2 linked regions of the Caenorhabditis elegans genome follow. The protein of the gene in region 2 interacts with the protein of the main gene of each other region in a pairwise test. Each region holds a gene or a part of one and is shown on either strand. Other genes may lie near its edges. The genes, in order: gcn-1 and abcf-3.

Evidence for each region.
Region 1: the proteins of abcf-3 (region 2) and gcn-1 interact in a two-hybrid assay, tested with the Caenorhabditis elegans proteins (one study listed by BioGRID).

Annotation. Positions count from the first base shown.
Region 1 is NC_003281.10:2,150,309-2,155,200, forward strand, and holds the start of gcn-1 (TOG domain-containing protein), read left to right. Parts: upstream 1-1,636; 5' UTR 1,637-1,675; coding exon 1,676-1,735; intron 1,736-1,927; coding exon 1,928-2,131; intron 2,132-3,910; coding exon 3,911-4,841; intron 4,842-4,892. Other genes in the region: frl-1 (GBD/FH3 domain-containing protein), read left to right, coding at 1-33, 767-903.
Region 2 is NC_003281.10:6,171,311-6,176,822, reverse strand, and holds abcf-3 (ABC transporter domain-containing protein), read right to left. Parts: upstream 3,421-5,512; 5' UTR 3,280-3,420; intron 3,227-3,279; 5' UTR 3,198-3,226; coding exon 2,379-3,197; intron 2,240-2,378; coding exon 1,653-2,239; intron 1,604-1,652; coding exon 1,112-1,603; intron 1,012-1,111; coding exon 771-1,011; 3' UTR 652-770; downstream 1-651. Other genes in the region: F42A10.6 (MD-2-related lipid-recognition domain-containing protein), read left to right, coding at 1-112, 160-325, 371-485, 531-629; F42A10.5 (Protein CDV3 homolog), read left to right, coding at 4,052-4,275, 4,326-4,788, 4,890-5,021.

The sequences.
Region 1 (4,892 bases), 4.0 Mb from region 2:
TGGATCACGGAGATTTCGAGAAGCTGATGAATGGTACGGGTTTTTACCCGGGAAAAAACGGATTTTTTTCGTTTTTCTCAATTTTTGGATCATTTTTCGCCGATTTTTAATGCCAAAATCGGATTCCCCGACACTTTTTACCCATATCTGATGTTTTTTTCGTCGAATTTCGAGCATTTCTGCATTTTGTCGTAGGCTCTGCGGTGTTTGCGTACTTTTGGAACTACCGTACCCCTCGAAATTCAAATTTTGAGCTAAGAACCCGGAAAACAAGTTTTAAGGCGTAAAAATAAGTGGGAAATTCGAATTTGATAATAAAAATTTGAAATTTCGACTGGAACGGTCTGAAATTTTAGTGTTTTGGACGAAAATTCATTTTTCAAAACAAATCACTGATTTTTGGGGTTTTTAATAAAAAATTCGAATTCCCCGCCACTTTTTACCCATATTTGACGTTTTTTTCGTCGAATTTCGAGCATTTCTGCATTTTGTCGTAGGCTCTGCGGTGTTTGCGTACTTTTGGAGCTACCGTACCCCGCGAAATTTAAATTTTGAGCTAAGAGCCCGGAAAACATGTTTTAAAGGGTAAAATTAGGCGGGAAATTCGAATTTGATGATAAAAATTTGAAATTTCGACTAGAAAAGTCTGAAAATTAAAAAAAAATTTCGAAAAAAAAAATTTTTTTTTTTCAAAAAAAAAATTTTTAATTTTAAATTTTTTTTAAAAATTCTTTTTAACATATTTCCAAAATTTCCAAATTTCCAGGTCTCAAACACACGGGCGGCACCACTCCGAATCGCCGAAAAATGTCAAAATCGCCGTCTCCAGCGCCACGTGGCTCCGCACCACCGCCAGTTGCTCCAAAAACTCGAGTCGTCAGTGTTGAAAGGGATCGACAATAAATTTGATCGATTTTCCCATTTATTTTCTCGTGTAAAATATGAAAATTTCTAGTTTTCCCCGTTTTTTCCCATTTTTTCTAACAAAAAATTCAAATTTCCCCCCTTTCCACGTGTGTTACGGGCATTTTTCACACTTTTTCTCTGCATTTTTGCCGTTTTTCCCCTTTTTTTTCCCCCGTGATTATTTGAATTTTTGAATTTTTTCGCTTTTTTGTGCGGAAAATTATTTTTTTTCTACTTTTTTCCTTGGTTTCCCCCCTTAAACCGGTTACAATACGCGATATTATTGTTTTTCTTTTTTTAAAAATGATTTTTTAATGAATAAATTTGATTTGTTTGAAAAATGTTTGAAAAAATTGCAAAAGAAAGTGTTCTGCGTAAAAATAAATTAAAAATAAAGAAAATTCAAAAAAATGGAGAAAATTCGAATTCAAACACCCGCGCAAATGAGGTACGTGATTTTGCGTGCGCGTGTCTGCGGACCGGGCATTTAATCTTACGGCACTTGGTGTTTTCCAACGCTGAAAATGATTTAATTATTTGTTTTAAGCCTAAATTTCTTAATTTTCAGCCGTTTTTCTCGATTTTTTCGATTTATAACCTAAAATTCATGAATTTTCGATCTTTTCAAGCCATAAAATGCTAAAATCCATCACAAAATCGAGTTGAAATCGACTTTTTTAGGCGGAAATTTCAGATTTTCGATTTTCAAGCAATTTCACCCGATTTTCAGATCATTCAACGACGGGTTACACTTTATTGATAGTGGAAAATGTCTGACGATGAAATAAAAAGCGAACATGTTCAGGAGAAGACGGAAAATCTGAGCGAGGTTCGGTTTTGAGGCCTAAAATTCGATTTTCGGCTTGGAAAGGCTTGCAAAAGCTTGAAAAAGCTTAGAAACTTGCATCCAGATGTGAATTTCATTGAAAAATCCAGAAAAATTTCCAAAAAATCGCGAAAAAACGCGAAAAAACAGTGAAAATACCAGAAATGTCCCAAAAACTCTATTTTTTAATTCCAGGAGGACGCATTAAAGGAAGAAATCCGCCGTTTTTCGTCGGCAGTTTCGAATCCAAGCCTTCGGGCTCATGGAATGGCCTACGCCGCTCTGACGAAGCTCATCGAGCGCCGCTCAACGGAAATTCCGGCTCAATTTGTGAAGGGGCTCGTCAAAATGAGCATTGCCAACTCGATTCGGCTCTATGGACAGCCAAAATCCTTTCAGGTAGCGGAAGAAAGCTGGAAAGTGTCGAAAAAACGAAGAAAATTAGCCTAAAATTGGACTTTTTCGTGACAATTGTGCAAAATTTCGCAATTTTTCACCTGAAAATTGCTATTTCTGCAGAAAAATTCTCAAAACTTGCAGATTTTCCTCTATCTTCGTCGAAAAACTCCACATTTTTCACGATTTTCACCTGAAATACTGATAAAATCTCGATTTTTCACAAAATTCCCGGATTTCCATTCAAAAAGTTGGATTTTTCTGGTTATTTACCAGAAAAATCCGAGAAATTGTCAAGTTTTTATCATTTTTAGTTCAAAACCCTGGAAATTTTTACGAAAATTCAAGATTTTTCTCTTTTTTCAACGGAAAAATCAGATAATATAAGATTTTTTTCCCGAAAAAACCCGGATTTTTCACACAATTTCACCTGAAAATCGACGAAAATCCTTTAAAAAATTCTGAATATCCATTCAAAAAGTTGGAATTTTTCGATTTTTTTCCGGAAAAAGTCCGGAAAATTGCAAATTTTTAAGACACAATGCGGAATTTTTTCGAAAAACGGTCTGAAATTCGCATTTTTTCACAATTTTCCCGAAAAATTGGGCTTTTCTTTCAAATTTCAGTAAAAAATTCCGGTTTTTTCGCCCGAAAATCCCCATAAATCCCTGAAATTTCTGGATTTCGATCCAAAAAACCGGAGTTTTCGCTTTTTTTGCCGAAAAATCCGTCAAAATTGTTCAATTCTCCATGAAAATTTCGAATTTTTGGATAAAAATCGGAATTTTTACGAAAAACGCTGGGAAATCTCACAAATTCCACTGGAAAATTGACGAAAATCCTCAAAATTCCCGTGTTTCTATTCAAAAAAGTCCGAATTTTTCGCTTTTTTTGCCGAAAAAGTCCGGTAAATTGCCAATTTTTACGAAAAACAGTCAAAAATTCGCAATTTTTCCGCAAAAATTAAGCTTTTCCATGAAATTTCAGACGAAAATTCCAGATTTTTCGCATTTTTCCACGAAAAATCGACCAAAATCCTCGAAATTTCCGGATTTTCATTCAAAAAGTTGGAATTTTTCAAACTTTTTACAGAAAAAGTCTTGAAAATTGCCAATTTTTACGAAAAACAGTCAAAAATTCGAGATTTTCCTCATTTTTCAACTAAAAAACCCGGATTTCTCACAAATCCCACCGGAAAGTCGGCGAAAATCCTCGAAATTTCTGGATTTCCATTCAAAAAAGTGGAAATTTTTCGCTTTTTTTGCCGAAAAACCCGTCAAAATTTCAAATTGTTTGAATGAAATCGGAATTTTTTTACGAAAAACAGTAAAAATTCGCATTTTTTCACATTTTTCCTCTGAAATTTGAGCTTTTCTATGAAATTTTAACCGAAAATTCCCGATTTTTCGCTTTTTTTTTACCTGAAAATCCCCATAAATTACTGAAATTTCCGATTTTTCACGAAAAATTTGCTGAAAATCGACGAAAATCGTCGAAATTTCTGGATTTCCAATTTAAAAAAGTCGGAATTTTCCAAATTTTTTGAATGTAAATCGGAATTTTCAATAAAAACAGTGAAAATTCGCATTTTTAAACATTTTTTTTCCGGAAAATTACCTGGATTTTTTTCACGAAAACCCGTCGAAAATTCACATTTTCTCTGCGAAAATTGAGCTTTTCCATGAAATTTCAGCCAAAAATTCCAGATTTTTCGGTTTTTTCAACCGAAAATCCTCATAAATCACTGAAATTTCCAATTTTTCAACAAAAATTTCCTTCCAGGCCGTCTCAAAATTGCTCCAAGTGCTCGCCAAACGTGATCCCATCTCCACACTCAAATCACTGCTCCAAACAATCACCACGGCTCTTCCAATCATCCCAAATCTCACGGAATCCCATAGTCTCTCACAAGTTCCAACGATGAAATGGCTTTTGGCCTGTTTGGATGGAAATTCCTGCGCTGAAAATGCTGTGGAAATCTTTGGAGCTCTCGGAGCAATCGCCTATTGGATGTCTGCTAGTGATAAAGCTTGGCGTGTTTTCACAAAGAAGCTGGCTCAGCTTTTCGCGAAAAATCCCGAGATTTCCAATGTTTTCACCGCAAAAATCGGGGAATTTTCAAAGGAAAATCCCGAGAAATCGTTGGCTCTGATCTCGGCTTTTGGTGCTCTTGGAGCCGCGAAAACTCCTGAAATTGCTCCAATTTTCGTCGAAATTTTCACAAAATCCCAGCTTCTCCCAAAGCTCCGACCACCGCAATTTTTCGTCACGAGAATCTCGAAATTCGCGGTTTTTCTCCAAAAATCGCCGGATTTTGAGACGAATTTGCTGCCAAATATGAAAAAAGCACTGCTCCGGAGCCCTGAAGTCGCGATTTTCGGAATCCGTGGGCTCTTGGAGCACATCAGCTTCTCGCTCGACTTTTGTGCTCAGGATTTGCTCAAATCTACGATTTCCTCGCTTTGTAACACGGATCCGGAGATTCGTGAAGCTGGAATCGGGATTGTGGTGGCTTTAAGCCGAAAATCGGAGATTTCAGTGATTCAGAAGATTCTCAACACGCTTCTCGATCAATTTTCGGCTGCAAAAGCCTCGGAAATTAAGTGCTCACTGATGGAAGGTGTTGGAGCAATTGCAAAGGTTGTGGAAGCTCAGGATATTGATAAAATCGCAGAAGATGTGATTTCAAAGACGGCAAAGGCGGATAAAGAATGTGAGATGGATGGAAATCGACTCAAAAATCGAGAAAATCGGATAATTTCAC
Region 2 (5,512 bases):
CTCTCGTCGGCATGCGATCAATGGCCGAATACTACAGAGACAAAGGTCAACTGGTGGCAATGCTCAAATGGACCAGTTATGGTGACCAATGTTAATCCAACTGATAAGAGTGGTTCGCAAGTTTTCTGATAGTTTCTACGAATGTATAATTGAATCCAGGTAACAGTGAATATCCAATCCGTCTTACTGAACCACTTCTCATTGCAACATCCATCAATGATCCATCCTCAACTTATACTACTCCTGGACTTAAACAAACTATCAAGGTCTGGTCATGGAATATGGCTACTTGTGGATGGTCTTCAGTACCAACTTTTGGACTTTTGTAAGATTTTTGCTTCTTACAGTAACCTACAGTAACCTTTTCCAGGAACAACATCGATGCTTGTACCAACGGAGTACCATGCCCAATTGAACCGAAAAACAAGGTCATCAATTTGGAACTCGACTTCTCTGATACTCCAGCTATCATCAATCTTCTCAAGGTTATTTTGATGTGTATTCTTCGAAAGTTAAACCCCCAATTTCAGAACGATAAGCCTTACCAACTCGAGTATCTTCTTCATGATGACCCGAGCAAGGAAGACCTTTGCATTATTTTCCAGGCTAGAGCTCTCACTCATACTTAAATTTTGAAGTGAACAATTTAATAAAGCAATAAACTTTTTTCTCAACAAAAATTATAAATTGAATTCTTAAATAGTGTAACAAAACGTGGAAACTGGGTGAAATATGGGAAACAACCGAATGCGAAACAAAACAGGAAAAATTTAGGCAGTGAGTTGAAGCTGCTTGTAGACTTGCTTTCTGTATTCTTCGAGTCCTCCCTCCAAAGTTGTCACCATTCGATCCTTCACAACCCAAAGTTCCTTGCACACAAGCTCGATGAGTTGCTCGTCGTGAGAAACTAAAACGACACCTCCATTGAAAACATTAAGCGCTTTTCCAAGAGCTTCAACCGTTTCGACATCCAAGTGATTAGTAGGCTCGTCAAGAATCAAGTAGTTTGGCCTGAAAAATACTATGAATTAGACGGAGTTTGAATAAATTTTTTTTTCTAGGAAAAAATGAATATTTTTTGAAAATGTTGCTATTTTCAAGCAAAACTCACTGCATCAAGGCTAAATTAGCAAATGCCAATCGAGACTTTTGACCTCCAGAAAGTGTCTCAACAGATTGCAAAGCCATATCACCAGCTAATCCAAATCTTCCCAAAGCTGCTCGATAATCTTCTTGAGTCTTTCCAGGATGATTCTTCATCAACACCTCAATAGCTGATGTTTCCATATCCAATTGATCAACGTGATGCTGTGTGAAGTAGGCAATTCGAATACGACGATTCACATTTCGAAGTCCAACGGATGGTTGGAGATCATCGAGCAAAAGTTTCAACAGTGTAGTTTTACCGGCTCCGTTTTCTCCGACAATACAAATCCGGGAGTTGGCATGAGTTCCGAGATTGAGCTTTCGGAAAAGATAGGGAGAATCTTCGTTATAACGGAAGGATACTTCATCGAGTTGGAGAACTGGATTACTGAGAACTTCGCATTCTGGGAATTTGAAGTGAATGTCTGATTCGAGTTCGACAGGAAGAAGAACAGGCCTGAAAATCATAATAAAATTTTTAGTGACAATATTTTATAAAAACTCACAATTTTTCCAACATCTTGATTCTGGATTGAACCATTGGAGCTCTTTTAGCGTTGTATCTGAATTTGTCAATAAACTCTTGAGTATGCTGTCTCAATTGCTGTTGTGATTCGTATTCTCTCTGCTGTTGCGTCAACTTTTCCTTCATCGTCTTCTCAAATTGATCGTAATTACCCTTGTAGTGATCCAATCGTCTGGTGTGCAAATGAACAATGTCCGTGCAAATTTCGTTGAGGAATTTACGGTCGTGAGAAACCGTCAAAATAGTTCCTTCCCAACCTTGCAAATGTCCTTCCAACCAGTAAACCGCTCTCATGTCCAACATGTTAGTCGGTTCGTCAAGCAACAAGAGATCTGGCTTCACGAATAGAGCTCTGGCAAGGGCAACTCTCATACGCCATCCTCCAGAGAACTCCTTTGTTGGACGCTTCTGCTCGTCTGGAGTGAAACCGAGACCATAAAGAAGGGAAGAAGCCCGTGCTGGAGCTTTGTCAAGTTGGAGAGCTTCCATTTCGATGTAAAGTTTTGAAAGCTCGTCATTCCATTTGGTTTTCTCGGCGTCATTGATATTGTCCTTGTTTATACGACTCTGAAATTTTAATTTTGAAAAATGAATTAATTTTTGTTCAAATTAAAAATATATATTTCAAGAATGGAATGAATTCAAATCAGACTTTTTTGTCATATTATTCTCATTGAATATTAATATCATTTTCTGAATATCTCACTTGCAGCGTCTTTTCCCTATCAAGAAGTGTTTGTCTCTTCGTATCTGACATCAAAACAGCATCCAAAACGAGTGTATCATCTCCTTCCACTTCCTGTTCCACAGACAGCATTGAAATACCTGCGGGGATCTTCAACTGTTGGCTTGAAATCATTTTAAGCAGCGTCGTTTTTCCGATTCCGTTTCTTCCAACCAATCCATATCGTCTTCCAAATGCCATTGTGACATCGGCACATGAGAGAAGTTGTTTCGTACCGATAGAAATATCCACACTTTCCAGTTTGATATCCTTTGAGTTGGCTCCACGGGCACCCGAGTCACGAATTGGAGCTTGGGAAGCCGTTGCTGATGGCTCATTCTTCTTCTTCTTCCGTTCAACAGGTGCATCTGCACGAGCTTCTGCTTTCGCTGCAGCACGATCTTCGGCCTTAGCAAGTTTCTTCTTATCAACGGTAGTTGGAGTATCTCTTGTTTGTACTTTCCAGATGCTTTGAAGAGCTTCAAAGTTTTGATTTTCAGCAGCCATGTCAACAGTTTGCTCGAGACGTTTCGTAGTTGCTTCCTGTTGTTTGATAGCCTTTGGAAGGTTGTCTCCGTGAAGTAGTTTCAGAAGTTGTTGACAAGCATTCTTAGCTCCAACCTCGCAAAGATTTTCCACGGAAGCTTGAAGATGTTCACCAACGGCATCCATAACTTCATCTAAAGATGTGATCTCATCGGAATTCTCTTTGAGAATTGCAGAGACATAGTCTTTGATCTCAATTGGAAGTGTGGGAAAAGTGGCCGTGAGATAGCCAGGAATTGCTTCAACATTTGCCATTATTTAATTGTTCAAGAAGAACTCGTAACCTGGAAAAAATTCATAACACACTCGTAAATAAGTTGCGTTTCTCGTATCATACCCAGCCAATTGAAAAAGTGAAAGACGATGAAAACCGGAATGAGACTTGGAATCAGAAGAAGATAATACGTTTGATCGGAGATGAAAGAAGCTGTTAGCTCGTCCACCAAGTGAGATTCCTCTAGCATACACTACGAGTCCTAAAAAAGTAAGGTTTTATTTATTGGGTGGTGGAAACTGTATCATTATCCAAATGACTAAAATATTAATTTAATAAATACATGTAAACTGCTATAAACTCGACCAAAAGCAATTTATTCATCCGAAAATACTGTAAATGTGAGAGAAAACTGAATAAAACGAGATATGCGTCAACAAAATCGCCATACACGCCAGTAATCGTCCTGGCGCGTTTGCAGTCTCTAACTTTTTTTTGTTGCGAAACTGAATTTTTAGCTGGATTTCTCTTCAACTTACACGTTTTGTTCATTTTTTGTTAGTTATATTTAGAAGCTCCAAAAGCCTAAACTATTCCAATTAGCAAATTCATTATTGTCAAGACAGCCTTCTGCCAAATAACTGCAATGAATCTCTGATACGCGCGTGACGTGTTGCGTCGCGTTTTCTTCTCATTTTCAGTAAATTCCAGCTAGTTTGCCACTTCCTATCATTTGTTCTTTGTGCACAGTAACTTTACATGTCATATTCGTTATTTGAACTTCACTATATTAGAAAACTGTGCTATTGTCGTTTCATTTTAGGCCGTTCAAAATAATTTTACTCTCTAAATGTTCCACGTTTCAGTTCCGACTCGCTTTTCACAACAACACAAAATGAGTGACGATTTGAGCGCTTTCTTTGCTAAAAAGAAAGACAAGAAAAAGAAGTCCGCCGTTAAAATCGAAGAAGTCGGTCAAGCACTCGAACGAAGAGCCAAGCGTCAAGAGGAGTATGAGCAAGAGTCGGAGGATGTTTCTGAAAAGCGGGTAGAAGAGGAGAAGGCCGTGAATCCTAACGAAGAAAGTGAATGGATTGAATACGGAGAAAGTCAAGGAAGGTTAGTAGATTATTCGCTCCGATTTCATTTAAATATCTCATTTATTGCAGACTAGATGGTCTGAAAATCAAAGATATGGGTCTTGAAAGTGAACAAGATCAAGTAAATAACGAAGAACCAGAAGATCGCGAGGTTCATGAGACAAAGACTTGGGGACAAGTTAGCAGTGAAAAGAAAGCGACGGAGGAGCCGGAACAAGCTGTGACGATCAGTGACAAAGCAATGGCTGCCGCTTACAAGCCACCTGCAATGAGAAGACCAGGAGCTCCGTACAGACCAAGAGCTGCTGCTGCAAATCTGGATATGGGTAGTGACGCTGCCTTCCCATCATTAGCGGATGCAAGCAAAATTGAGAAGAATAAGAAAGAGGAGAGCAAATCACCAGGAGGTTGGGTAAAAGCTGGATCCGGTGGAGCTTGGCCAGGAAGTTCGGGCCCATCTTCAAGTGGGTCTTCAAGATCGTATCCGACAACTGCTGGAAGTGGACGTGATAGTGCTCTTGCAGCTCTCAAGGTATGTGTCAAGGAAAAATAATTACTCTAAGTTTTCAAGGTTTTAAAACTATCAAAAATCATTTTTATTATTCTTGAAAATGTCTAAATTCAACGTTTCAGATGATGAGCGCCGCCAATCCAGCTCCAGCGCGTAACGAGCCAGCACCAGCCCCTGCAGCTGCTGCTCCAGCATCTTCGGGAGCTGCCAAGGCTGGATCGTACGTTCCTCCACATTTGAGGAAAAATCAATAATAGGCCCAACTATTTTCTTATTCTTCTGTTTTCTGTGTTCCCATTTCCTTATTCATTGTTTTTCTTTATTCTATAATATCCTTTTTTTGGTTAGTATTCTCATAATTTAGTACATTATTAATTTCGTCCCTATCAACTTGTTATGTCCCAAATTTCTCTTATCATTTCGTGCTTAAACGCACTTCACTCTTTATTGTTGCTCTACCAATTCTTGAACGACCCACAATACCCCGTGAAATTTATAGGGTAGTTGACAGCGGACGGTGTGGTTTGAGAATTCACGTGAATCGAATTTTGGTATCTTTTTTCGAAATCTTATGCATTTCGAAGGTCGTCTCCTATTTTCGGTGTCACGCCAAAAATCTCAAATCCGCCTGTTTCGCGTGTCGTCGGTTACGGTTTCAACGAAAGAAAGTTTCAAAATGTTTTCCCCATGAGCACTTTGCTCTTTTTCTACTTGTGCTATTTATACAAGTGCTCTATCATATTCT